Stegostoma tigrinum: one gene and its partners. The protein of the gene in region 2 interacts with the protein of the main gene of each other region in a pairwise test. Links are inferred from orthologs where the notes say so. Each region holds a gene or a part of one and is shown on either strand. Other genes may lie near its edges. The genes, in order: gnao1a, regulator of G-protein signaling 20, guanine nucleotide-binding protein G(i) subunit alpha-2 and gnaz.

Evidence for each region.
Region 1: the proteins of regulator of G-protein signaling 20 (region 2) and gnao1a interact in a two-hybrid assay, tested with the Homo sapiens proteins (2 studies listed by BioGRID). The link is inferred for Stegostoma tigrinum from reciprocal best matches to the Homo sapiens genes RGS19 and GNAO1.
Region 3: the proteins of regulator of G-protein signaling 20 (region 2) and guanine nucleotide-binding protein G(i) subunit alpha-2 interact in a two-hybrid assay, tested with the Homo sapiens proteins (2 studies listed by BioGRID and IntAct). The link is inferred for Stegostoma tigrinum from reciprocal best matches to the Homo sapiens genes RGS19 and GNAI2.
Region 4: the proteins of regulator of G-protein signaling 20 (region 2) and gnaz interact in a two-hybrid assay, tested with the Homo sapiens proteins (2 studies listed by BioGRID). The link is inferred for Stegostoma tigrinum from reciprocal best matches to the Homo sapiens genes RGS19 and GNAZ.

Annotation. Positions count from the first base shown.
Region 1 is NC_081369.1:13,077,869-13,085,784, forward strand, and holds the start of gnao1a (guanine nucleotide binding protein (G protein), alpha activating activity polypeptide O, a), read right to left. Parts: upstream 3,015-7,916; 5' UTR 2,514-3,014; coding exon 2,396-2,513; intron 2,183-2,395; coding exon 2,140-2,182; intron 1-2,139. UniProt on the Homo sapiens protein: Guanine nucleotide-binding proteins (G proteins) function as transducers downstream of G protein-coupled receptors (GPCRs) in numerous signaling cascades.
Region 2 is NC_081372.1:27,678,452-27,685,981, reverse strand, and holds the start of regulator of G-protein signaling 20, read left to right. Parts: upstream 1-4,527; 5' UTR 4,528-4,594; coding exon of another isoform or gene 4,595-4,644; intron 4,645-7,530. UniProt on the Homo sapiens protein: Inhibits signal transduction by increasing the GTPase activity of G protein alpha subunits thereby driving them into their inactive GDP-bound form. Binds to G-alpha subfamily 1 members, with the order G(i)a3 > G(i)a1 > G(o)a >> G(z)a/G(i)a2.
Region 3 is NC_081364.1:15,213,299-15,220,287, reverse strand, and holds the start of guanine nucleotide-binding protein G(i) subunit alpha-2, read left to right. Parts: upstream 1-3,958; 5' UTR 3,959-4,301; coding exon 4,302-4,419; intron 4,420-5,390; exon of another isoform or gene 5,391-5,550; intron 5,551-6,989. UniProt on the Homo sapiens protein: Guanine nucleotide-binding proteins (G proteins) are involved as modulators or transducers in various transmembrane signaling systems.
Region 4 is NC_081379.1:45,326,181-45,333,177, reverse strand, and holds the start of gnaz (guanine nucleotide-binding protein G(z) subunit alpha), read left to right. Parts: upstream 1-3,997; 5' UTR 3,998-4,411; intron 4,412-6,997. UniProt on the Homo sapiens protein: Guanine nucleotide-binding proteins (G proteins) are involved as modulators or transducers in various transmembrane signaling systems.

The DNA of each region.
Region 1 (7,916 bases), on a different chromosome or scaffold from region 2:
AAGAGAAGGTGGGCCAGGAAAGATTGTCATAGCAACAATGACATGGACAAAGGTTGCAGGAGGTGAACGATTGGATGCAGGGGTATATACTGATGATGTTGAAGGTGTGAGTGCACTCGAGGCTAAAAACCTGAATCTTGATTCAAAATGCACCAGCCTGGGTTGGAAAACAGACCCAGGTCATTTTATACCAACACCAACCAGAACTCCCACAACCCATACTGTATGATACCAGCTCAGGCCCAATTCACCAACTCTGCACCGATTCAAACTCAGACTTCACAAACCAAACTTGCATCAGAAGCCAACCACATTGAACCAATCTAAAGCTCAACACAAAGATGCAGATCCAAGCTGGAGCACCTTCACTTTTGGATGACAAACTTGACTTTGATAGACTCTGGTTCACATATCCAACCAGTTACATATGAAATTGGTTGATCTGGGTTATGATACATAGAAATAATCCAATGTACCTGTGGTATTCTACTCTAAGTCAATACATATGTAGTAACAAAAAAAAATACACAAACACGAGCTATAATATGCAGGCTGCATCAGTCATGGATGACAGCAAAAGCAGACCCAAATTCTGAAGCATTTTCTGCCATGCAATCATCTAATCCCCAGCTTCATTTATCAGCCTTTGATCTACATTTGCATCCCATTGCCCAATGCCAGCCTTCCAAATACAGTCTTGAAAATTTTGACTGTCTGAGAATTTACAGCTGTTTGGGGAAGGGTGCTCTGGATTACTCTTTACATGAAAAGGTGGTTCTTGATTTCAATTCAGAAAAGCCCTTACATAATTCTAAAACTGTGCCCTCTTGTTTTACATTACCTTACCCAAGGGAATAGCTCCTTCGTACCTACCTTTTTGTTATTTTAAACATCTCAATCAGACCATTCAACCATCTAAACTCGAGGGAACACAAGCCAAGTTTATGCAACCTGTCCTTATATGTTAACTCTTTAAGCCTCAGTTCCATTCTGGTAAATATACACTACATTATCTTCAATCCAGAATGGGAATGGCTGGAATCGAACACAGCACACCAAATGGGATCTCTCCAAGGCTTTGTTCAGTATATAACATGCTCAGAACTTTGTATCCTTGCTTTTGTATTCCAGAATCCCTGAGGTAAAGGCCAACATACTGTTAGTTGCTGGTCATTTTCAGTGCCTAACAACTTTTTTTTATAGTGAATTACACACAGAACACTCATGTACATGACAGAAAGACATTGGTCAGTATAACAGATCAACAGAGAGGCTGGAATCATCCTTGCACAGTGACAACTTGTTTGTACATGTGCTATCATTAAAATACATTTCCTTTTCCCTTCAAATTGTGAGCATGCCATACTGTCTTCAAGAAAAAAGCACAGGGGATGAAATATGGAAGGGTGGGACCAAATCGCTGTGCGATCCAGGTAATCTCAAGCAATGAGAAGATCGCTAGTTACTGAGACCCCCTAGTGAATTCTGACTGATTATTTATAACAGTGAATCGGTAGATCTCGGTGAAGAGAACCTTGAAATGGCAAGTGTTCAACCTGCTGTCCATCTGTTTACATCCACATTTAAAATGTAATTTTAAAAAAATCCCACATAACTGGCCTCGCAGCCGGTTTCAATCGATCAAACATGACAGAAAAAAATGTTGAAAGATGAAAGCTTGGCATTAAAGGTTAATTGGTAGCTGACGATGATTTTCTCTCTCTCCTCACCACCCGCTAAGACACACATGCATACCCGCGCCCCTCCTCCGAAGCGAAGTCTCAGCTGCTCCCGTGGTGACAAGCACCCCAGCACAAATAGATCTGACCCACACCCCTTTTCCAAAGAAACAGAGATATTCATGAAAATAAAGACCACCCCCACCCCGAAAAATATAATCCGAATAACCAGACTGCATATGTTGGAAAGAGTGACAATCCTTCCACCAGAACCATCAATATGTTGGAGATAGGAGGCTTGAGACTATAGCACTATAAATATGGCGGTCTCCTGTCATCAATATACATCTAACCTCAAGGTACAGTCTCGACTTAAAATGAGGCTTAGGGAGAGAAATGCGTTATTAAAATCAATAGAAACTGAATGTTAATTTTTTAAAAAAGAAAAAATAACACTTACTTCATTTGCTTTACGATGGTGCTTTTCCCCGATTCTCCCGCCCCTGTGGGAAAATGAGAGAAAAAAAGGGAGAAAACGTGAAAGAAAGTAGGGTTGGGGAGGGGAAAAGATGTGAAGAGATGAAAGCAGCGGGGGGTGGGGTGGAGGAGCGGGGCAGCGGGATGACCAGCCGGCTGAGGGGGAGCCTCCAATCCACCTGACGAGGCAGCCAGGGGCAGAGGAAGGGAAGGGGGAGAGAGAGAGACCGGGCTCTTACCGAGAAGCAGCAGCTTGACATCCTTGGCGGCGCTAATGCCATCCTCCTTGATGGTTTTCTCGATGGCTTTGCTCCGCTCCATGGCTGCCCTCTCCTCGGCGCTCATTGTACATCCCATGGTTGGTGCTGGAAAGTAGCTCAAGCTCTGGCCTTGTCAACTCAACTCACTCGCTCGCTCTCTGGGACTGAACCCTCGGTTGGAGACGCCGGGGATTTTTAATCGCACATCCAAAGCCCGTGGGTGTGGAGTTGGACTGGGAGGCGGAGGGGGGACCGGCGGGCTGGTTTTCTTTTACCTTCACCGTCTGGGTGGGCAGCAGGAGAAGAGTGAGTGTGACACTGTGGAAGGGATGGAGGGAGGATTTGACGGTTGTTGTTGCAGGTCTCACCAGGGAGGGGAGTGAGAGAGAGAGAGAGAGAGAGGGGGGAGGGACAAGGGGGCTCTGGCCGGCTGTTGGACTGGGCGGCGGCAGCGGCAGCAGTAGCAGCAGAGATTCAGGCCGATCGCATCGTTGATCTGCTCACAATGGAGGGAGAGACAGAGTGCGCCAGCCCCAACTCCACACTGACGTCAAACAGACTGTGAGCCTGCGCCAATCGAGCAGCATTCACCACTGCTGACTGCACCTTCCCTACACACACATACACAGGGAGGAGAGGGTCGGCCACTCCTATCCACATCAGCTACCACAAAACAAAATCCTGCAATCTCTCTTTCCAACCCCACCCCCAAAATGCAGGAGCGAATGCAATCCGTGCATTTGCACAAATAAATGAAATAGCATTGCAATGCAAAAGACAGGCCCAATGCAAGCACCCTGTGCACAAGCTATTCCTGAAACACTTTCACACGTTTCATATGCACTGTAAGCTGCATGTATTCACGGCAAACGGGGACCCGCGATCCAAATGTTATAGGACGGGGGGGGGGGGGGGCGCGAGAGAGAGAGACAGAGAGTTTATTGCATCAGCAGATTACAGTGGGCACTATAAACTGATCACATCCATCGTGTCACGCTGTTAAACGGATTTGACCACAGAATAACTCGCAATTAGGGCACTGAAACACTTATTACAGGACCTGACCACCTGGGAACCGCTGCTCCAAAAGTCAGACGCATTGACAGAGTGGAAAGGGGACGGGTTTTAGGGGCGTTGGGGGGGGGGGGGGCGGCGGTGTCAAATCATAGAAGAAGCGCCGGCATCATGTGCATTTTTTTGTGTCTCTAAAATTCTCCAGCAATTGCTGGCAATGCAAACACTGAGTAAACCCAGCCGTCTTTCCACTGCCCAGGCAGTGGAGGTGGGGGTCCGCACAGCCCGGTGTCAACGGAGCTCCGAACCCAGCGAGATCCAAAGCTGTTCATTCACACACCTGTTTCCCAAGGCCCCCACCCCCAACAAAACCTCTACTCCTAGTCATCCCAGTTGTCCAAACCGTTTACCTCCCGGATTGTATATGACGGGCAAACAGCCTATTTCTGACACAGTCACATCTGGATCAATCCACTCCCCAAAACAATCACTCCCTCCTAACATCTGTGCTGTAGCACATCCGATCATCCGTTATCCATTAGGAGGATTATGTGTTGCTAAACGTTTCCTAAAACAAGAAAGAATGGCAAAATATGTGAACTGGCTTATAAGCATCAGACGTGGAAGGGGGCAAGGAGTGTTCAATTGGGAACTTTCCAGGACAAAGTGGGAAGGAAAACGCTGTTCCAGAAAGACCAGGACTGCATCAGCATTACTTGAGTCCTGCTGAGATTTACTGCTTATACGAAAAAAAATTCGTTAATAAAGCGCCTTTGGCGCATTCCAATGTATGTTGTATAACCACGGCTGGTGGACCATGAATGCGCCGCCACCAATTAAAAACCGAGCCGTAACTGCGGCCCCAACTGCAAAAGGCAGTAGGAGAATGCAGGGCCCGGAGGTCAGGAGCTGGATGAATTTGTCATTGATTAGTTGTCAAAGTAATATTAATACGTAATAAAAATACAATAACTCTCATGAGCTGATATTAGTTCCTGCCATAAACATTTATCAGAACCAAAAGCAACAATTAGGGAAACTGTTACAAAAGACCAGAGATATCAGGGAATATGCAATGGAAAGCCAATGTTATACTGGGGAAGTCAGAAAGTGCTGGAGGAACTCAGTAGGTTTGGCAGCGCCTGTGGAGAGAGAACCTGAGTTAACATTTCAAGTCCACAATGGAAGAAGAGTTATACTGGACTTGCACATTGAGGTTGTACAGGACATTAGTGAGTCCTCTTCTGGAGTACTGTGTCCAGTTCTGGTCGTTCTTCTGTAGGTAGGGTACTATTATGCTGCAGAGGGCTCAGAAAAGATTAACCAGGATGTTGTCAGGAATTAGGTGTTTGAGTTATAAGGAGAGGCTGGATAGGAGCAAGACTTTTTTCATGTGAGTGTAGGAGGTTGAGGAATTGTTTTAAAGATTTGTAAAATCATGAGGGGTATAAATAAGGTGAATGGCAGGTGTCTTTCCCCCAGAGGTGAGGGATTTCAAGATGAGTGGACATATTTTTAAGCTGAGAGGAGAAAGATTCCAAAAAGACATGAGGGACAACTTTTTTACGCAGAGAGTGGTTCATGTGTGGAATGAACATCTACAGAAAGTGGTGGATGTGGGCACAGTTACTACATTTAAAAGACATTTCGGTAAGTATGTGAATAGGGGAGGTGATGGCCCAGTGTTATTATAGCGGGACTGTTAATCCAGATAATGTTCTGGGGTCCAGGGTTCAAATCCTGCCATGGTAGATGGTGGAATTTATATTCAATAAATATTTGGAATTAACAATCTAATGATGACCAGGAATCCATTGTTGATTGACCATGTGGTTCACTAATGCCTTTTAGGAAAGGAAACCGCCATCCTGGACTGGTCTGGCCTACATGTGACTCCAGGCCCACAGCAATGTGGTTGACTCTTAACTGCCGTCTGGGAAATTAAGGATGGGCAATAAATGCTGTCCAATGAGTCACTCCCTCATCCTGTGAATGAATGAAGAAAAAAAGAAGAAATGTTTGGAGGGATATGGACCAAGTGCAGGCTGGTGGGACTTGTCTAGTTTTGTATTAAGGTCGCCATTGACTACTTGGACTGAACAGCCTGTTTCTGTTCTGTACGACTCCATGAAACATTAACTTGATTTCTCTGTCCACCAATGCTGCCAGACCAGCTGACCTAAGGTAGGGGATTGATACTCCAGAATTTTCTGCTTTCATTTCAGTTTTCCAGCATCTGCAGTATTTTGCTTTTGTTAAACTGTGGAGTGCAGAATAGTGGTGATGCAATGAATATCCCATAAGGAACAGTCATCAGTAGAGTAGATGGGGTTACAAACCAGCCAAATGAAGTCCATTGCACATAGATGTAAGAAAATGGTGACATTCGAAGTCAAGTGAGACAAATTAAGCTTTAATTTCCAAGGGACAGGAGAATCCATTGAGACAACGTCCAGAAAGATTAAAAAGCATGTGAAATTTCTATCAGTCTCTTGAAAAGTACAAAATTTTCAAAGTACTCAGCATTCCTGAAATTACAGAATGGTTAAAAAAAATCAGACTGAAGAAAGCCAGTGAATCCTTGGTGTCCAATCCAGCTGTTCACTGAGCCTCATTTTGTTGCCATTTCTTTATAGCCTTTAATAATTTGTTCTTTCAAAGAATTATCACCAATCACCTCTTTTTATTAAAGGAAATGGATTTGGTTTCCAAACATTCTGGTGAGACATACTTTCTAGAAACATAAACTCTTTTAAACTCACCATCCATTATTTTGATGATGAACTTTAAATTTATCACTACCAACTTGCCGAATAGTGTGAATAGTTATCTAATCAAAACTTCTCACTAACTTGAGTATCTTTATCAGATGTCTACCTGACCTTTGGTTTAACTAGCATCTTATTTAGCCCCTCCTCATAATAGGTGTTCCTCTTGCATTACAGTGGTAGTGCCCCTACTTCTGAGCCAGCTCATGTCCCACTTGTTCCCTAAGTGTGTAATAACATCTCTGAACAGGCTGATTTGAAAATGTAAACCTTTCTCCCGTGGTGTATCCTATTATATTTCTTCTATTCTTCCTTCATGGTCAAGACAGCCAAAACTTGACAACATTTCACTTGTAGTTTAACTGATCATTTTTAGAGGGTTGCTTTTGATTTCTGCCCTCTAATTACAAGGATTAGGATGTCCAGTATTTAATCTGTGTTCCTATTTTTTAAAAGGTGCCCATGTCTCTTTACTCTAACTTCCTTTAAAGCTTAACCTTTTAGTTTACATGTTCTGTCTTTTTCATTGTCTCTCAATATAACACCCTGTATTTTCTCATATTAAACTTCATCTACCAAATCGACCAGCTTGACTAAAGACTCCTGGAGCTTCTGCTATTCTTTTACACAGTTAAGTTCACTCCCATGTTTTGTATTTCCTGCAGAAACGTATATTCTGTTTCTATACCCTTGTCAAGATCATGTCAACTACCATCATCACTAGCTTACCTCTATTCAGAATGTGGAACTTGCGACTATGTAGAGTGATTGGAGCGAATAGCACAGATTTATTGAAGGGAAGCTATACAAAATATAAGGGTTAGATAAAATAAGGTAGGGGATTGATATGGAGCATGAACATATTGGATCAAATGGCCTAATGCTGTGCTGTATGTTTTATATAATCTTAAAAGGCCTGTTAGTTTTGATTCTCTTCTGCCAATTAGCAAAGTTAAATGTTTGAAGATATATCTGCAGTATTTTTCCTTTATTATCTTTAAAGCATTTGATGTTTCTCTTCAGCCCAAAAAAATCCTTAGGCTCATTGAAGTCAATCTAGTGATAAGTCTAGAAATGTTCATAAATCACCATTTTTAAAATTTTCAGTGGCTGAGCCTAATAGCCATTGGTGTGCCATCTGGCCATTTCTCTGCTGTTCCATTGTATAATGGTTTTTTTATCCAACACGTTTTAACAGTCAAGTGGACAGAGTTTTAGGAGGCTGGTTAACTCTGTTGGCTAGATGGCTGAGGTAGACCTGGACCTGCCTCCTTGCCTTGCCCCTGAGACCGGAAGGCAATGGCAAACCATCACTGACAAAAATTAACTGGACAGAAAACAGCTCAGAAATGAGCCATCAACAAACAGTGCCCTGACATGACAGGGACACGTCATAACTATTTCAGGTGCAATTTTGTTCCATTCCAGGGAATAATACAATTCTATAATCATTTTAAATTGAATGAAAAATGCTTTAATCCATATTTTTATGCCTTTTAAAATGTCAAAAACCTAGATCACATCACCCCTCAATCTTTTCTTTGATTGAAGTAATTTCTGTTCTATGGACCACCTTTCAAAACTTGGAACCAGAAGTCCTGAAATTATCCCAATTATTTTCAGTAGAAAATTGGTCTTTCCCTTGCACTGGAATTAGACAGAATATTCTAGGTATGCCTTTAAATAAGTTCAGAATTCATGCAGCGTTTATTTTCTGA
Region 2 (7,530 bases):
GAGCTGAGTGCACTGCTTTTCATCATTTATATAAATTATTTAGATGTGAAAATAGGAGGTATGTTTAGTAAATTTGCAGATGGTACCAAAATAGGTGGTATAGTGGACAGTAAAGAAGATTTTCTCAGAGTATGATGGGACCTTGACCAGATGGGCCAATGTGCCGAAGGGTAGCAGATAGAGTTTAATTTAGATAAATGTGAGGTGTTGCATTTTGCTAAGGCAAATCAACACAGGACTTATACAGTTAATGATAGAGTCTTGGAGAGTGCTGCTGAACAAAAAGACCTGGGCTACACATTCATACTTCCATGAAAGTTGGATGACAGGTAGGCAGGGTGGTGAAGAAGGCATTTGGCATGCTTGCCTTCATTGGTCAGTGAGTATAAGAGCTGGAATGTCTTGTTGCACAGTGTCATGTGAGGCACAGAACATTGGTGAGGCCACCTATGGAATACTGTGTACAATTTTGGTTGCCCTTCTGTAGGAAGGACACTGTAGGAAACTTGAGATGGTGCGGCAAAGATTTACAAGGATGTTACCAGGGCTGGACGGTTTGAGCCATAGGGAGAGGCTGAATAGGCTGGGGCTTTTTTTTCCCTGGAGTGTTGGAGACTGATGAGTGACATTATAGAGGTTTATAATATCGTAGGGTGAATAACCAATGTCTTTTTCCTTGGTAGGGGAGTCCAAAACTAGAGGGACACAGGTTTAATTTGAGAGGGGAAACATTCAAACGGATCTGAGGGGTAACCTTTTCACACAGAAGGTGGTGGATCTATGGAATGAGCTGACAGAGGAAGTGGTGGAGGCTGGTACAATCACAAGATTTAAAAGGCATCTGGATGGTTATGTGAATAGGAAGGGATTAGAGGAATATGGGCCAAATGTTAGCAAATGGGACTAGGTCAAATGTGCAGATGTGTTGGACCGAAGGGTCTGTGTCTGCATTGTATGACAGTATGATTTTGTCTCGAGCTGGTTTACAGCCAATGATGTACTTCTGAAATGAATTCACTGTTCTAATGTAGGAAACATTGTGCACTACAATTGTCTCGTGGATTTTCAGAAGCTTAGCTAAAGTTGAAGCCCCGGAACTGAAGGCAAGATTATTGACTTGTAGAGGAAATTGACTGTTTGGCAGGAGACAGGGGGTAGGGATAATTGAACAACTAATCTAATTAGCAGGATGTAAACTAGTCATGTCTGTAAGGATCCATATTGTTCTCTTGACTATTCACTATTTATTAACAATTCAGATGAAGGGATAGAATGCCACATAATAAGTTTAACAATGACAAAATGATAGGCAGTTAGGCAGAATATAATTATAGACATATTGATAACTTAAGGGAACGGAAAAATCTGTGGCAAACGAATTTCAATATAAACAAACATGTTGTCATCTACGTTGGACCTAATGAGAATAGAATATTTTCTGAATAAGGAAATAATTAAAATTGTGGAGTTCAATGATACTTGGAGGTCCAGGTACGTAGATCACTGAAGCATTACAAAAAGCTACAGAAATGATCAATTTTAGTTTATAAAATGATAGTCTTTATATTGCAAAAACTACAAAACAAGTGAGGTAGAATCTACATAAATATACAAAGCCCTGGTTAGACCACACCTGGAGTACTATAAGAAGTTGCAGCCCAACATATCTTAGGAAGGATATATTGGTCATGGTGGGAGTGCAGTGTATTTTTACCAGAATGCTGTCTGGCTTCAAAGGATTATGGGAAGAGATTACACAAACCAGGTTGCAAGTCCGAGAGTTTATAAGATTGAGCTCTAAAATGATTAGGTCAGTGTTTTCACAATATTAAGGGAACGAATAAATTAGGTAGAGAAAATTTATCCCTGCATCATGGCCAGCCCAGGATTTAAAAAGTAGAATTAGTCTGTTCAGGAGTAAAATTACGAAACACTTCATGGGGAGAAATTTGGAAGTTTACTCTTAAACAATAATTAATTGTATATCAGTTTTTAACTTTAATCAGTGATTTATCGTGTTGTTTTATCTAAATATCTGACAGAATATAATAACACGGATATTGGTCAAAGATTAAGGTCGTAGATCAGCAATAATCTCACGACAGACCTGGTATAGGGGCTAATCTTGTTTTTAATGTTTTAATCTCTTCCCGTCCAGAAGGAGAACACTCCCACCCATGCTAGCATTACTCCCTCTCCTCCAAATACACACGCTGATACATCAATTTGTTCACACCCACATATATGCACTCTCCTCCACCCCCGAACATATCCCCTTACATCCCAACCACACCAAGTCACCTCCCTTAGCAACACACGCCCTCACATACTACCCCTCACTCCCAAATCCGTCTCCCTACCATACACACAGATGCATGCTCCCCCACTTCCCACCCCCTTCATACACACGCACACACACATCTAACTGGTAAACAACGTAGTAGTTTTGGAAAATTTGAAATTATCACTGGTTAATTGGCGCAGAATTTACCAGCGGTGTTTGGCGCCACCTTCTGAGATCAAAAAAAGCACTTCCTTGGCGAGTCGGAAAATAAGAAAGCGTTTTCTGGCCATGAGGTAATGATAATTTGCACATTTGCTAGGTGAATCTGAAATTTACTTCAGATATTTAGTGTCCAATGATAGGATGTAGGAACGACTCCGATGAATTGAAACATATAAAACGTTATTTGCGAACGCGGACTGTTATGAACTTTCCGTGAAATGTTAGAACAATACACACATGTATAAATAGTGGGCAGCCTTTTATAAATGGTCCAATTTCTATGCGATTTTACACCTTAACTTTACAAAGACAATACAAATTGAAGTGTAAAATTCTTGTCGATCTAAATACCAATTCATTAAAACTTATATTTAGCGTGATGGCTAGTGTCTAACTGCAGATATTTGCCAGTACTGTCAACTGTAACGATTGGAAGAACTCAGATATACGATTTAAGACGATAAACGCTAAGTAAAATCGGAGTGAGTCATCTTTCTGGAATTGTTGAAACATGCAGAGATAATTCGGGGATCACACTTTATTGTTTGTTCTTGTACAGCATTAAATTTTGACGGTAGATCAGCTTTTTTAACTCGAAAGATGATGACTCGTAGTCACTCCCTGGGACTCAGCGTCAAGTTGATGGTAATTTGAGACTGTTTAACTAACATAGCCTGGTCTTGGAGTCATCTTTTCATTTCAACATGAACGCACGGAATGATACAAAGTATATCGTTGTGTCCCTGTAATATTGAAATTAAGTGTTGGGAAAGTGCGGCGCATGCAGATGAGATAACCACATTGAAATTGCATTGCAGGGTACGGTTGAGTTCTCCTTGCAAGGATCAATTCGAGTCAGCACACACACACATAAAAATACTGTGACGATTGGGGGGGCTAGCTCATCAGGGCGCAATGGATATAATATGCTATAATCCAATCTGAAGTCTAGGCTAGGCTCTGCAGGATCTTCTCAGGAGTAGAGAGTCATAATTCTCCCTATCAAACCATCCTGTCTGGATATTAACATTCACTTCACACTACGTTCTGACATGCTGGGGAACCCTCTACAATAAACTTGGGAACTGTAAATGCATCGTTAATTATACCGCTAGCTGGCAGGTTTGTAAATTGTTGGATAGACTCTTTAGTCCTTTATCGATCCAGTTGTAATAGCTCTGACATTTTTAGAACTGCTAATATTTCTGTTCAAATGAAAGGGAGCACATGGGTAAATAAATACCAAGACGCAAAGAAGGGAAATCTATACTTGTCGATTTGTATATTTTCAAACATGTCAATTTGGTATTTAAAACATCGTCTTTATTTCTGATGAGCTTTTTGTTCGTTAAAGTCTTTAGATATTAAAGACATCGAGGGGCAAGGAAATATTGGAATTATAACGTTGAGATGGCGGGTTAGCCACGATCATATAGAATGAAGAAGCAGGTTCGAAAGGCCGAATTCCTATTTTGTCTGTTTCTTACTGTGTATCTCTGGATTCCCATACCAAAGAATCTGAGTGAAGCTGTTGTTCTCTGGACTTCATTGGTCAGCATCATTTACTAAACTGAACATATTTTGCCTCCACTCAGTTCAGAGATAACGCATCGTCCACCAGGGATACAATGTCCCCTTCTCTGAAATGAGGAGCTCCACAAAATCCTATTATCTCCTTCCCTTAACCCACTCAGTTCAGAGATAACGCATCGTCCACCAGGGATACAATGTCCCCTTCTCTGAAATGAGGAGCTCCACAAAATCCTATTATCTCCTTCCCTTAATCTCTGAAAGCACTGGAACAGAGCAGTGGGCATTCCCTGTCCTATTTGAGGACTCTTTTCTAACGCGCCCAGCAGTGAGTGTGGAACGCCGGCTCGTTGCAGTGCTGCTGGCAGAAGGTGTGAGACAGGTTGCTGAGACAGGAACGGAGACCCTGGGGGAAGCTTGTTTGAGCATCAGCTTGTCGTCTGAGGCTCCTTGACGTAGCAGCGAAAACTGCTCGCCAAGTCAATCGGCCGGGACGCGCATGCGCAGCCCACCTCTTGCCAGCCGCCCTGGGTGTCGATCTGCCTTTAAAAAAAACGGATGTGCTTGAGAAAACGATACAGTAACACGCCGAATTTTAATGAAAAACTGTAAGTAATATCCTCATGTTTGATTGCTGACTTTTGTCCTTTCTTTAAAAAAAAGTAGCAGCTTCCTACCCAGTGAGTGGGGCAGTCAATTTAAATGGTAAAGCTGTAAAATGTATTTTTACCATATCCTACAATTTGACAAGCCTTCCTTTTGTAATAGTGCAGCTTTCTGTGCACAGCGTTTCAGGCAAATCTTAAATCATTAGAGGTATCTGTCTGTGTGGCGGTTTTATTAAAAAAAGAGAGAAATCGGAATATCCCCATGGAAACACGAGGGGTCTGGTGCATTTATTATCCACTGATGCTTTGTTGATGATTTTAGCTGTCAGTGAAGATTTCTTGTACAGCGTAAAATGCAAAACGATCTCTTCCCGTCGTTGCTGCATTCCCATGAGCAGTATATGTTGTGGGTTTAAAGTCGCGACCATTTGCCAATTTTTCTTAACAAACACACAGTTAAAAGAAAAAGCTGAACTGGTGACTCGGATCCGGCTCCGTGCTCTGACAGCGCGTTATGTCTGGAGGGAGAGACGGACGCGCAGGATTGGAAGAAGTTGCGGCACTTTTGATGTGCCAACCTTTCCCCAGTTGGCTCCTGCCTTTTGCCACCTGTAGCTGCTGCAGGATTCCGGCCTCAGCCCGCGCCACGCTCTGGCACCACTTGCATTGCTTTGCATTGCCTTCGCAGCTTCAGCGTCCCCGTCTTCACCGGGCTACCCAACATGTCCACTGGTATCATTTTACTCAAGCTCTCGAGTCGGAAGTATCTTTCTCGCCGTCCAAATTGCTCGCTGCTTTCACGTTCTGATTTTACCTCCCAGACCTTCAGTTTATTGCCTCCCTGTTTGATACAGTACACACCCGAAATTGAAGTCCGTACGTGCATATCTCTTTTTTCTTGAAAAAAGGATGCGGGTGAGGCAATTTCGGGGGTGGAGCCGATAGATTTGGGTGATTTTCTTTAAAACAAAAGAGTGGGGACACGATCAAAATGATTGGTGCCTGGTAGGTGTGGAAATGCGAGCAGCTACATTGAGACAAGAGGGAGGGAATATTGCAGATCTCCACTCCGATTTTGTAAAGTGCCAAACACTTTCGCCATCCTACAGATTGTTGTCGCTATACATGTAAATCCAGTTGTTTCTTGATGCATAAACTTGTTAAGCATTCATCTGAGAATATGGAAATAAATGCAGTTTGAAAATCCGCTGTATTCAGTTTTGCTGATGAATAGGTTACCTGGTGTATTGTTCCTAGACCAAGCTCAATTGGTCCTTGAAGGGATTTGTCACTTGTGTCGTGTGTGTTGTGATAGATAGATGCAGTCACTTCTTAAATGAACGGAAACCATGTATTGGTCTGTGCACATGTATGTAGAGGCATGACATTGTAGGCAACACTCCCCCTGCTCACGATGTGGTGGGGCTGGAGAAGTGATAGCCAGAACACAGCTACATTATTTACTGGTATCCAACGAAAGTCCCATGACCATAAATACAGTCAAGGGTGGGTAATTAAAAGTGCTGTGGTATGATTTGAATTTGTTGACTGTGCAAAGCCAATGATTTAGTCTGCAATATGGTAATGATACAAACATTTTCTCTAAAATGTTTTTGTCACTTGCATCTAAAAAAATATATATTTTGTGAACAAAGCTGATGGGGAACCAATCTCACATGGTCAGCTTGGTCAACTCTCAAAAATATATTGCAGCACTGGGGTGGAACATCATCATGATGAAAGAAGCACAAAATTTCTATCTCACTGCACTTGAAATAATAGTGTAATGAATTCAACATGATCTTGAATTTTTAAGAAGGCTTTTCTTCTTTGTACTTCTGGCCTTTTACTTCCTGTTGAATATCTGTACTCATTTGAAGCAATGAGTTGTAAATCTGATAAGCTTCAAAAACCACAGAGTCACTACTTTAATAAAATACATTACTTCTTATTTGGACACAAAATTGTCCATAGTGGGTACTGTGTGTATGCTTAGGTTGGACCATTTAAAGTGGAGAATAAAATTTAGATTTATGCTTCATACATTTGCATCGTGGGAAAATTGCATCTGTACAACATTATCATCAATAATAAATCATTTGTACAGTTTATTCAATGAGTTAATGTTATGTTTTATTGCATAATACATTTGTTGCATGTTAGGATCTTGATCAGATGGGTCAGTGGGCTGAGGAGTGGTAGATGGAGTTTAATTTAGATAAATGTGAGATGCTGTGTTTTGGAATGGCAATCAGGCAGGACCTATACACTTAACAGTAAGGTCCTGGGGAGAGGAGACCTTGGAATGCAGGTTCATCTTTCCTTGAAATTGGATTCACAGATAGATAGAATAGTGAATAAGGCATGTGGTGTGCTTTCCTTTACCGGTCAATACATTGAATATAGGAGATGGGCGGTCATATTGACATTGTACAGGGCATTGATTAGGTCACTTTTTGGTGTATTGTGTGCAATTCTGGTCTCTCTCTTTATAGGAAGGATGTTTTGAAACTTGAAAGATTTCAGAAAAGATTTACAAGGATGTTGCCAGTGTCGGAGGGTTTGAGCTATAGGGAAAGGCTGAATAGGCTGGGGCTATTTTCCCTCGACCATCAGGGGTTAAGGGTTGACATTATAGAGACTTATAAAATCATGACAGCATGGACAGGGCAAATGAACAAGGTCTTTTCCCCAGAGTAGGGAAGTCCAAAACTAGAGGGCATAGACTTAAGGTGAGAGGGGAAAGATATAAAAGCAACCTGAGGGACAACATTTTCACACAGAGGCTGGTGAGTGTATGGAATGAACTGCCAGAGGAAGTGGTGGAGGCTGGTATGATTACAACACTTAACAGGTTTTTGGATGGATATATGAGTGGGTAGGGAT
Region 3 (6,989 bases), on a different chromosome or scaffold from region 2:
GAGCACCCAGAGGAAATCACACAGACACCAGAGGAATGTGAAAACTCCACACAAACAGTCACCCAAGAGTGGAATCAAACTTGGGCCCCTGGTGCTGTGAAGCAGCAGTGCTAACCGCTGAACCACTGTGTCACCCCCACTTAATGTAATGAAATCATGGCACATGACAGATACATTATAAAACAAAATATGATCTTCAGGGAAGGAAATCTAATGTCCTTACCTAGTCTCACTTACATGTAACAGTTGTCCCAGACATCCAATTGGTAGTTGGTCATTAAGGTGGACAAGGGGCAGCATGAAGGGACTGAATTTAGATTTTTAAGGTATTCATGTGGAAATGGAAAGAAAAGACTGTTGATGGCAGTTTTCTAGCTACAATTAGACAGATATGAATGGAATCTGTAATTTCAAATCCATGAGATCAATATGCTTGGGTTTAGTGAGGGTATGTCCAAAATCAACAAAATGAAAATAAAGGTAAAAAATTTCAGTGTAGATGGAAAGTTATAGAGTCATAGTTATAGAGCATGGAGACAGACCCTTCAGTCCACCCAGTCCATGCTGACTATATTCCTAGGGCGGCATGGTGGCTCAGTAGTTAGCATTTGCAGCCTCACAGTGCCAGGGACCCAGGTTTGATTCCAGCCTTGGGTAACTGTCTGTGCGGAGTTTGCACATCCTCCCTGTGCCTGCGTGGGTTTCCTCCAGGTGCTCCAGTTTCCTCCCATAGTCCAAAGATGTGCTGGCTAGGTGGATCAGCTATGCTAAATTGCCCATAGTGTTCAGGGACTTGTGGGTTATAGCGTGATGCGTCTGGGTGGGATGCTCCAAGGGGTGGTGTGGGCTTGTTGGGCCAAAGGGCCCGTTTCCACACTGTAGGTAATCTAATCTAAATTAAACTATCCTACCTGCCTGACCGTGGCCCATATCCCTCCTAACCTTTCCTATTCATGAACATATCCAAATGATTTTTAAACATTGTAACTGCATCCATTTCTCTGCTTGTTCATTTTACATACAAACCACTCTTTGTATAAAAAGCAGCGAGCTCTTCCAATGCTCGAGATAACATTCATCAATCAAAACCCCCCGTTTGAAAACAAATGAATTGTTGCTTACAAGACTTTGCTATTGCAAACAACATGCTTTATTTGACCATTAAGTTCAAAAATCGTTTCATTGACTTTGAAGAACTTTGGGCTATTCTGGGGCTGTGTGCGAAACTGATGAAAAAGAATTAATAAAGTATACGGTGCTCTCAGCTTTCTTAAAAAGGCATAGAGTACAAAAACAAAGAGGTGATGTTGAAGAGAGATAACAAAGTGTGGAGCTGGATGAACACAGCAGGCCAAGCAGCATCTTAGGAGCACAAAAGCTGACATTTTGGGCCTGGACTCTTCATCAGAAAAGGGGAATGGGGAGAGGATTCTGAAATAAATAGGGAGAGAGGGGGAGGCGGACTGAAGATGGATGGAGGAGAAGATAGGTGGAGAGAAGGTAGGGAGGGGATAGGTCAGACTGGAGAGGACGCACAGATCATGGGGGCGGGATGAGGTTAGTAGGTAGGAAATGCAGGTGCGGCTTCAGGTGGGAGGAGGGGATAGGTGAGCAGAAGAACAGGTTAGGGAGGCGGTGACGAGCTGGGCTGGTTTTGGGATGCAGTGGGGGGAGGGGAGATTTTGAAGCTGGTGAAATCCACATTGATACCATTGGGCTGCAGGGTTCCCAAGCAGAATATGAGTTGCTGTTCCTGCAACCTACGGGTGGTATCATTACGGCACAGCAGGAGGCGCAGGATGGACATGTCGTCTAAGGAATGGGAGGGGGAGTTAAAATGGTTCGCGACTGTGAGGTGCAGTTGTTTATTGTGAACCGAGCATAGGTGTTCTGCAAAGCGGTCCCCAAGCCTCCGCTTGATTTCAGCGTAGAGAAAGCCAGAACGGGAACAGCAAATGCAGTATACCACATTGGCAGATGTGCAGGTGAACATCTGCTTGATGTGGAAAGTCATCTTGGGGCCTGGGATAGGGGTGAGGGAGGAGGTGTCGGGGCAAGTGTGGCACTTCCTGCAGTTGCAGGGGAAAGTGCCGGGTGTGGTGGGGTTGGAGGGGAGTGTGGAGCGGACAAGGCAGTCACGGAGAGAGTGGTCTCTCCGGAAGGGTGGGGATGGAAAAATGTCTTCAGTGGTGGGGTCGGATTGTAGATGGCGGAAGTGTCAGAGGATGATATGTTGTATCTGGAGGTTGGTGGGGTGGTATGTGAGGACAATGGGGATTCTCTTTTGGCGGTTGTTGCAGGGGCAGGATGTGAGGGATGAGTTGCGGGAAATGCGGGAGACACGGTTGAGTGCGTTCTCGACCACCGTGGGGGGAAGTTGCGGTCCTTGAAGAATGAGAACATCTGGAATGTACGGGAGTTGAATGCCTCATCCTGGGAGCAGATGCGGCGGAGGCAAAGGAATTCGGAATAGGGGATGGAATTTTTGCAGGAAGGTGGATGGGAGGAGGTGTATTCCAGGTACCCGTGCGAGTCGGTGGGCTTGAAAAGGACATCAGTTTCTAGGTCGTTGCCTGAGGTGGAGACAGAGAGGTCCAAGAAGGTGAGTGATGTATTGGAGATGGTCCAGGTGAACTTAAGGTCGGGGTAGAAGGTGTTGGTGAAGTGGATGAACTGTTCGAGCCCCCTTTGTCTGTAGGAAGTGGGAGGAATGGAAAGAGTTGTTGAGGGTGAGGCGACCTCAGCTAGAGTATTATGCACACTTGTGGATGTCACTTTATAGGAAAGATGTAAATACATTGGAGAGAATGCATTAGTGATTTACAAGAATGGTGCCAGGAATGAGAAACTTGAGTTACCAGACAGATTGAAGAAGTTAGGAATGTTCTCCATGGAGACAACTTTTCATACAGCAAATAGTTAAGTATGGACTGCGCTGTCTGGAAATGTGGTAGAGGCAGGTTCATTTGAAGAATTCAGGAAGGTATTGGATGATTATTTGGATAGAAATGGTGTGCAGGAATAAGGGGGAAAATTAGCAGATTAGCACTAGGTAATAGAAACAGAGCAGGCATGGTGGGCCGAATGGTCTGATTCTACACTTGAACAATTCTGTGAAGCTCACTTTGTAAGTGCAAGTTCTTCTTAAGCAAATCGTCACCTTCTTAATTCATTTCAACGCAGCTTGTTCTTTCTCGGCAGAAGCGACCATCATCTTTATTGCTTATAAACATAAATGTAACAGTTGTCCCGGACGTCCATTCGGTAGTTGGTCTTTTAAACGTTTTTATTTTGTTTTTATATAATCCAAGAGAAAGTCATCAGTAGTTGGTTACATTTCAAACGGGTGACGATTGCGTGTACTTTTTCCTGAATAGACATGTCAGTGCCTGTATTGTGGTGCTTCTGTACTGTTTCCATCCGTGTGATTCCTGGGTTATTTTTGCTAAATTTAACACAGCCGGTGAACTCGGGATTGGTTCATTCTTGGGGATTTCGTCTCCTTCCGGCCGTCAGAACCCTGTTGGTGTAGCAACAAGTCACTCGAATAGCTGCAGAATAAATAACATTGTGTCACTGAAGAGAAAGGGTAATGAATGCTAAACACTGTAAAACACGAAAAGTGAAACGAGGGTTGAGCAGCGTGCACAGAATTTTAAGCAAAATGATGTATTTACTGTCGGAATCAACAGCAGGCAGTGAAACAATTAGCGGATGCTACTTGTCTTTTGAAAACTATAATAGAAATACCAGATTTCCAGCGACATTAACCAGTATTTGCAGCAAAAACGCTGCTGTCAATCATGTTACCTGGGAGGCGTTGCAGGGGCGAGAGGTATGCGGGGGATTGTAGTTCCCCGGCCCCGTGTGAAACTGGTTGGGTGTGGAAGTAAGGAACTACATTTCCCGTTCAGCATCGCGGCGAGCTCACGCCTTGTGCCTGTGCCATCCGGGTGCCTGTGCGCTCTGAGCCGGGCTGGGGTGTGGTGGAGTGGCAGAGTGCTACGGGCACGCAGCTCTTCCCCGCAGTCACAGGGGCTTAGTGAATTGCTGAGTGCAAACAAAAAAAAATCATCAGCCACCCGAGCCGGAATCTAAATCTCTTCAATACGCTTCTTTTTGCATTCCAACTCAGCCTAAACAAAACAACGTCCTATATATCTGCATAAAGTTTCTTTTGGCGACGTCGTCTGGACCTTTCTCTAGAGGACTTAGAAGCTGAAATTTGAAAGGAGGGTGAGAACTTCTTTGTCGAACATCCACACACAACAAAAAGAGAATTGAATCGACTTCAACTGACAATGGGTTGTACCATCAGCGCTGAGGACAAGGCGGCTGCCGAGCGATCGAAAATGATTGATAAGAATCTCCGGGAGGACGGAGAGAAAGCGGCTCGAGAAGTGAAGTTGTTACTTTTGGGTAAGTTGGGTCTCAGTTTGTATGTTTCTGTCTATTGGTCTATATGTGTACTCCTCGGGCTGGGTTATATTAACGTTACACTTTAACCACAGCGAGAGAAGGGAGTGCGAGTGAAGGATTGAAGTGTGAACGCTCTGTAACTTTTTCACAGTCAAAATGACAAACTGAGTGGAACAGACCGCGATTTATTGTGTGTTTAATCTCTTCCCTGAACAAAACGCTCTTACTTCCTTCGAAGGGAGTAGGAGGAAAGGGTGACAAAAATAACGGAAGTTGCATGAAGCAAGGTATTTTCAACAGCAGGCCCTACTTGAACATTTAGAAGGAGAATATTGTAGATGAAGTTGAATAGCTTGTTTCCAAGGAATGCATTTGGCCGTTCCTGTATTTAATGTCTCAAATTGTACTCCGGCACCTCAATGATAATGCTCCCAAGCGTTCTTGATTATTGGGGTTGATTTAAATTAACTCTTTCCCCCCCCCCCCCATGAAATTGGAGACATTGCTTCCTGCATGCACTTTAAAACAATCGTAGCAATGCCTTTCTTTTTGAAGAGAAATCCGTCTTTTAAAGTAAATGAAGGGTCGTTTTAATTCTTCTAATATTTGTTCAATTCCACAATTTTCCCACCGAATTTGAGTGATTTCAACAGAGAATGAACTCTCGAGATGCGCAGATGTCGTCAGGGTTTAGATGACAATCTCTGCTGCAATTTTTTTTTCTCTTTTGTGAACTTCGACGATGAGTTCGAGCCTATTGACGTAGGGTTCAGACGGAAAAAGGGAAGGAAGGGCTGTGGAGAAGAATTGAGGGAAGGCAGGGCCCCACATCTGCATACAACCCAAGAGCAGCCTCCGCCTGTACCGTTGTCCTGTGTGTAGGATCAATCGGAGAGATCACAGTGTTTAGAACAGGGAAGGAGGGGACAGGGATCCGCTGGGAATGATAGTTAGCGGCTGACCGTGATTAATAAGCATCTCTCCAGCTTATTCACAACTGCAGGCTGCCTGCAGTGCCCTGTTGCTTTCGCCTGCTTATTTAATTGCACATCCAGCAAAATTAATGCTATACATGTCCCCAATTACACGGGGACAAAAACACATCGAAAAGTGATGCCGTCGGCCAGAGAGGTATGCTTGTTAAAGGATTATATAACCGCAAAGTGCAGGCTTTCATACCATGAAGCGCGCGGGACAGTGAAACCGTTCATTTCAGTGGCTTGCAATTACATAGCGCCTGCAATATAAACTTAGGCGGCATCAGCAACGGAGGAAGAATAAACGCATAAGTAGTCTCCAGCCAAGATAACCTTTTGAAATGGAGGCTGCTCAGAGGTTTGTGGAAGCCTGGACATGATTTTGGGAGGTTACACTCTTCCAGGCTTGAATCTAAACATTAACTCAAGGATCCTTTGGGCTTTCTAACAGAAACAGATCATGGAGCTTTAATTACTCAGACTTTGAGAAAAATACGCCTTTTGGGTGTGGAACCAGCTTCAGAGGATGAGGTGACATTTGTGGTGTTGTAGCATTCTGTATAATTTCCTGTTGTGAACAATTTATCTGGTCGTGTTTGCATTCACTGTTGTCACAAAAAAGTAAGAAAAAGCCTGAGATGTGAGGAATGAACAATTGATGCTATATGAGGGATGAAGACTTGTTATTCCCATGTAAGGACTCTCCTATGCTGTATTGTTCTAAAATATTTTCAATTTTGAATACAGCAGTGCAAAATGTATTTTGCTATTGCCTTGAAAAATGAGACCAAATGAGATTGAAGTGCAAAGGAATTCAGGGGTACGCATCACAAATATGCATAAAGCAGCAAAGTCATTTAAACAAAAAAGTGGCTATCATTTTTGGAGAAGTAGAATTCAAAGGTATGCATATTCTGGTCTCCAGAATACAAAAATGATCGAGATGTACACTGGTAAAATTTCGTCAGGACTAACGATCCCTGAGAAGAGATCATGAGCAGCAATGATGGAGTAGCCTGGACTTCTGCACTGAAAAATAGAAATGTGAGACGACCATAAATAAAATTTATGAAGGGTTATGTTAAAGTTGACATAAACATATTTTCCATTGTGGGTGAGTCCAAAATTAGTGGCTGTAGATATAAAATGGTCACTAAAAATACCATTGAGGAATTGAGGAGAAACAACTTCGCCAAAGGAGTGGTTAGAATTTGGAACCTGTGAGAGAAATTTAATAGAGTCGGATGAGATAATGTAAAGTAGGAGAAAGCTTGTGTGGAGCATAAACACCAACATGGACCTGTTGGGACAAGTGACCTATTTTTGTCATATACTGTATAATCCTATGTAGGTCATGGGTTTGATATTGAACTCCTGTGATGAAAAGTTCATAAGGCAATTAGGAACAATACTTTCTGAATGAATTCTTGATTAGAATTTTTGGTGCGTAATGAGTAAATGTGCTTTGAGATAAATAATGGTTAAAAGGAATTTGGAAGTGTGCTTATTAAAAATAAAAGGAACGTAACCTTGTGATTCTGCATTTTAACTCACTACATACCTGCTGAGTGATATTAAGTATGACTGACTGGC
Region 4 (6,997 bases), on a different chromosome or scaffold from region 2:
AACTGATGTGTCATAGGGTCATACAGTCACAGAGATATACAGCACTGAATCAGACCCTTTGGTTCAACTTGTCCATGCCCACCAGATATCCTGTATAAATCTAGTCCCTTTTGCCAGCATTTGGCCCATAACCCTCCAAACCCTTCCAATTCATATACCCATCCAGATGCCTTTTAAATGCTGTAATTGTATCAGCATCCACCACTTCCTCTGGCAGCTCATTTCATACATGCACTACCCTCTGCATGAAAAAGTTGTCCCTTAGGTCCCTTTTATATCTTAGCCCTCTCAACTCAAATGTATTCCCCTCTAGTTTTGGACTCCCCCAGTCCTGGGGAAAAGACCTTGCCTATTTACCCTATCCATACCACTCATGGTTTGAAAGACCTATATATGGTCACCCCTCAGCCTCAAATGCTCCAGGGAAAATAGCCCCAGCCTATTCAGCCTCTTCATATAGCTCAAACTCTCCAACCCTGGCAGCATCTTTGTAAATCTTTTCTGCACCCTTTCCAGTTTCACAACATCCTTCCTATAGCAGGGAGATCAGAACTGAATGCAATACCCCAAAATTGGCTGAACCAATGTCCTATACAGCTGCATCATGACTTCCCAACTCCTATACTCAATGCACTGACCAATAAAGGAAAACATACCAAACACCTGCCACTCCACTTTCAAGAAGCTAGAACCTGCACTTAATGGCCTCTTTCTTTGGCAACACTCCACAGGACCTTACAATTATGTGTATAAGTACTGCCCTGATTTGCCTTCCCAAAATGCAGCACCTCACATTTATCTCAATTAAACTCTATCTGTCACTCCTTGGCCCATTGGCCCATCTAGTTAAGATCCCATTGTACTGGAGTAACCTTTGTCGCTGTCCACTACACCTCCAATTTTAGTGTCATCTGCAAACTTATTTACCTCTTATGTTTGCATCCAAATCGTTTATGTAAATTATAAAAAGCAGTGGACCCAGCACCAATCCTTGTGGCACACCGCTGGTTATAGGCCTCCGGTCTGAAAAGTAACTCTCCACCACCATCCTCTATCTTCTACCTTTGAGCCAGTTCTGTATCCAAATAGCTGGTTCTCCCTGTATTCTGTGTGATCTGACCTTGCTAACTAGTCTATTATGAAGAACCCTTTTGAACACCTTACTGAAGACCATATAGATCACATCCACAGCTCTGCACTCATCAATCCTCTTTGTTACTTCTTCAAAAACTCCATCTTGTTAGTGAGATATGATTCCGACTCCCCATGCACAAAGCCATGTTGACTATCCCTAATCAGTCCCTGCCTTCCCAAATACACATAAACCCTGTCCGTCAAGATTCTCTCCAACAACATGCCCACCACTGATGTCAGGCTCACCGGTCTATAGTTCCCTGGGTTTTCCTTACCACCTTTCTTAAATAGTGGCATGGCCTCCAGTCTTTCAACACCGCACCTGTGGCTATTGATGATATAAATGTCTCAGCAAGGAGCCCAGCAACCTCTTCCCTAGCTTTCCACAGAGTTCTCAGGTACACCCAATCAGGTTCTAGGGATTTGTCCACCTTTATGCATTATACGACATTCAGTATCTCCTCCTCTGTAATATGGACATTTTTCAAGACGTCACTATTTATTTCTCCACATTCTCTATCTTCCATATCCTTCTCGACAGTAAACACTGATGCAAAATACTGTATCAGTATCTCCCCCATCTCCTGTGGTTCCACACATAGGTGGTCTTACTGATTTTTAAGGAGCCCTATTCTCTCTCTGGTTACTATTTTGTCCTTAATATATTTGCAGAATCCCTTTGAACTCTCCTTAAGGCTATTTGCCAAAGCTATTTCATGTCCCTATTTTGCACTCCTCATTTCCCTCTTAAGTATACTCCTGCTACCTTTATACTCTTCTAGAGCTTCATTCGATCCTTGCTGTCTATACTGAGATATGCTTCCTTTCTTTTCTTGGCCAAAACTTCAATTTCTCCAGTCATTCTTGACATTCCCAACGCCCGCCAACCTTGCCCTTCACCCTAACAGGACGTTCAGCTGTACTGCTTATCACATTCTTACACTGGACTTGCACAATCCAGATTTTGAAGTAAGTGTCAGGTCAGTTTCTACAGCCATTTTTAACATGGTGATCCAACCAGACCTGATGCTTCAGGTTTCTATATGAGGTACCCATGGTAGTGCCCTTTCCACGATAGGGCACCAGGTGGGCCATCCCTTTCTTCAACAAATATCTAAGGCTGAAACAAACTTCACACACTTTGTGCTGCAATAAACTAGCACAGTGCTTCCAAATACATATTTACTCCATCATCAAGATCACCTATTTCATTTCTATCATGACCTGCATCACCCCTGCCTCAACTTAATTGTTGCTGAAACCCTCATTCATACTTTTGTTAACTTCAGATTGGATGATTCGAATGTTTTCCTGGCCAACCTCCCATCTTTCAAAGCAAACAAATTTGACCTATTGCAAAATTCTGTTGCCCTAACTTGCACCAATTCCCTTTCACCTATCATGCCACATGTTCTCTGATCTGTATGAGTTCCCAGTTCAACAATGCCAAAATTTTAAAATTCTCATCCTTATTTCTGAATCCCTCTTTGGCCTTGCCCTCCCACTGTCCAACAGTCTCCAGCAGCTCTACAATACTTGAAGATCTTTGTAATCTTCCAATTTTGTTTTGTGCTTCCGTCTTTTGATTTCCCACTGTAGTTTCAGCAGGAAGCTGTTCAATTCTCTGGAGCAACAGCATAAGTTGTTCTAAACAGATATCCACCATAACTAGTGATAATGGGAACTGCAGATGCTGGAGAATTCAAGACAACAAAATGTGAGGCTGGATGAACACAGCAGGCCCAGAAACATCTCAGGAGCACAAAAGCTGACGTTTCGGGCCTAGACCCTTCATCAGAGAGCTCTCTGATGAAGGGTCTAGGCCCGAAACGTCAGCTTTTGTGCTCCTGAGATGCTGCTGGGCCTGCTGTGTTCATCCAGCCTCACATTTTGTTGTCTTGGATCCACCATAACTATGTGGTTCAATGTCAAATTTTGCTTGATAATGCTCCTATGAAATGCCTTGGGACCTTTAACCATGTTAACAGCACCAGATAAATGCAAGTTGTTGTTGTTTCTCCAGGGTTCCCTTAATGGAAACAATTAGTGGGAGATTGAAAGAGACCCACATACAGCAGTGGCACAGCGCACAAAGGCAATAACAAGACTCAGGGAAGATACTGAGCCTAAGGGCATGCAAGAGCTGAATAAATTTGCACAGCCTGCCGAAGCTTAAATGGAGGTTCTGACTGTGTTATAGTTAGGATCAGTGCTGTTCGCAAGACAAAAAGAAAATTATATCAACAGCAATTTTGGGTCACTGTTTGATTTATAAAAGGGGTGCTACTGAGCAGAACATTTTCTCATCATCTTTGCAATTCAGCCATTTGGGGCATCAGCCAGAAATCTCACAGATATCCTTCAGCAATATAAAACATTACTGGAGCATTCTATTATGAATCAACAGTACAGAGCAAGGCCGAACAGCAGAATGATTGGGATAAAGATCCCTCGTGCTGGTATTATGTTTCTAACAGGCACAGCTTTGTGTTTCTCTGCTTTACTAGAATGTCAATCCTGCTCACAGCATGTGAGGATGCTAGCATACACTGCACCACCCAGACAAAAAGCTAACAATACTTGGACAAGATGAGTTCTAACGCTATTTTACTCATTGTTACTTTTAATAATCAAAGGGATTTATATATATGAGATATTTTTGTTGGTGCGGGTGTCTTATTAACTAAGGATAGAAATAATAATTGATTGTAGTCTTCATTTCCAAATACTTCCCTTTTCCCTGAACAGCTATGGAGCAGGCAGCAAGCAAATGATTTGCCAGCAGTAGTGGCAATCCAGACAGCATCCTCCACTGGCAGCCAATCGGGGGACATTGTGATTTTCTGTTAGCGCGCACCTCAAACAGATCAGCTGTGCTACTGTAGCTGCCGTTGAGTGGGTTTCAGTAAGAGCTGCTCAAGCCTTCCTGTCAAAAGGAATATTGGCTCTGTGTCTGGTGTTGGCGTGGACCTACCCACTCCCCCTTCAAGAACCAGCCCCCCAACCCGCCTTTCACACACACACATACACACACACACGACAGCTTGATCACTGCACTCTAATCAAATCACACCCATACACATTCTGGAGGAAGCAGGGGAAAAGGAAGAGTGCTGCAAGCTGCTGGCATCTGTCTTCGACATAGTACTGCAGTGATCCTGGCTTCCTCCCCCGGCAGGCACTGATGCTGCCGTGAAGGACAGGGAGGCACTCTTAACATTGTGTGTACACAAAACAGCCCGTCATGACAAGAAGCTGATTGCTGAAGCACGCAGGGGTAAGTGGAGCTCTCCTGTCTTTTGCTCAATACAGTCACTCTCTTGCTGAGCTCTCTTGTGGGTTTGCTATATTTTCAAATAAAGGATTTTTTTTTGGTCCATCTACTGCTCTGTGAAACTTGGCTTGCTGCCATCATTTCCCATAAATAATTTGCAGTAGAGTGTTAGAAAAAGTGTTGAATGGATTGGAAGTAAGGATGAAGGAAATTGATCTGGATATCAATACCATTCAAGGACCCTTGGACTGCAGTGCCATGCACTTATGAATAACAAAATATCACTCTAACAATTCTGAAATTTTTGGCGATGTTTTTTATAACCAATGGTTTCATTTACTAATCTAAAAAAATTTCAACAGTCTCAAGGGTGTTTCTCTTGTAGAAAAAATGTCTTTGACAAAATAATAAGAAATAAAAATATTAGCTTTCTGCTACATTTTACTGAATATTGTTGATAGCATTTCTAACCTGCAGAGTATGTCGGCTTCCCAATGCCATTTCAGATATGACAGACCGAAGGAAAAGAAGACCCCAGGGAAATGTATGCTATTTTGTACTGCCTGTGAGCGTCCAGTAGTCAGCTCCTGTTTCATTTATTATAATGATGTCATCTACAAGGTATCTGAATTGAGGTTCTTTTTTGCCTGCTTTCTTGTAAGATTCAATGTCAGAATTTCAATAGGTACATATTGAGTGTAGCTTGTACAGAAACAGGTCAAGTTCATCCCTTCAGTGGTTGGACAACCTACTGAGGCAGGGATCCAGATTGTGGTTCCAGTCACAGATGCTCTTGAAACACTGCCAGATCCCACCTGAAGGCTGAATAAGATGGTAACCATTTTAGGGATTAAAATCAAACTTCCCACTTTATATGAACCTATTTTCAGCATCTCTGCTTGCAAGAATTGTGCCTGCAATTGGAAAAGCAAGACAGCGTGTGACCGTTGCACGGGCACAACTGCTGTCAACAAGCAAGCTATGAAGGATGGAACAGGTTTTCCTAACATCTCTTCATGCTGTCCGAACTGTGTTCTGCTGCTAAAAAATGTTAACCTAAGACGTATTTGCTATTCACAGAGAATTTCTGAAATCAGGATTTGAAAGGGAATGCAAAGTAACAGGTATTCTATCTTGTGGGTCAATAGTTTACGCTGTGTCCCAATAATTAAGCTGTTTTTGCAAACATTTTGCATCTTGGATAACATGACTTCATGTCCTAGGTGTGTTTGATACTTTAGTCCATCACCCAGGCGGTTGATCAAATTTTATTCATGTTACTGTACTGCAAAGGGTGTGTTTCATGTCAACACAGCACTTCAATTATTGGGAAAAGGTGGAAAATGATGGTTTTAACCGTAAACGTGTTTTCTTGTGCTTTACTATGGATCCACCCTTGAAATGCCTGTCACAAAACAACTATGCTTCTGACATCTTTAGTCACAAAACTGTAAAAACAGGAGGCTCAGCATGGGGTGGATCAAATAGAGAAAATATTAAAATAAAAGACAGAATCGCCGATGAACATTTGCACAGGCATGCAATTAAAATCCAATGTCCCTCTTATAAAAGATGCATTTTTTTAAATGGTGAAAGCAGTAAAGCTCCCATTTAATTATCTGAGAAAGGTTGCTAAAGTGATTAGACCTTTCTGCATTAAAAAGGGCATGAAGGTGAGAAAGAAATTATAAGGACAAGTCTACATATATTTTGCTCATTTTTCTCCAATTAATTTTGAATGGAGGGCTTTGTTACTGTTCATGAGAATTCTCAGTTAAACATAATTCTTTGAGAATGAAAAGGGGTGTGAAATGATTCAGAATATGATAAAAAATTTATGCGGAAAGAACCAAGTAATCTGATAAAAAATGAAATGCGTTCAGTCCTGTTGTCACACAATGAACCAAGATGTCAAAGGTAGATGTTGGAAATCTGAAATAAAAACAGTAATTGCTGGAGAAACACAACTGGACTAGCAGCATCTGTAGACAGAGAAACAGAGTTAACATTTTGAGTCCAATATAACTCTTCTTTAGATCCCAACAAGAACACTGGATTCACTACACCAGCTAAGCGAGTGTTATTAATAGTGGCCACGACATTAACCCTACCAAGACAACTAAAATCCCCTGATGAAATTTATAACCAACAATTAAAACTGATATTTATATAGTAGTAAGATTCCTAATTGACCTCTGGCCTCCCATGCCCCACTGTCCTGGTCCTCCCTCCAGGTAAACAGTGTAATGGCAAAATTTTTGTAGAACATTTTCCAATTGCAAATCAAAACACCAGAAAGAATCCTGGCACAAGTGGCATGCCACAAATGTAGAGCAGTTAGGTTTTATTACCAGGCATGTAATCATTACCATTATGAAGTGGCATATTAATTCACATTGATCCTACAGCTCCTCCAGATCTAATTTTCACATATTGAAAACTCAGATTATAAATCTGTAAAAGGCTGTGGCTCAGCACATTCACTCTGAAGGAGCTGAGTATGAAAGCTGGGAGGGCTCTAGCATCAGCCCTAATATGTGCTAGTTTAGCCAATCTCAGCCAGTTTAGTAGCAGTTCTGATAAAACTGG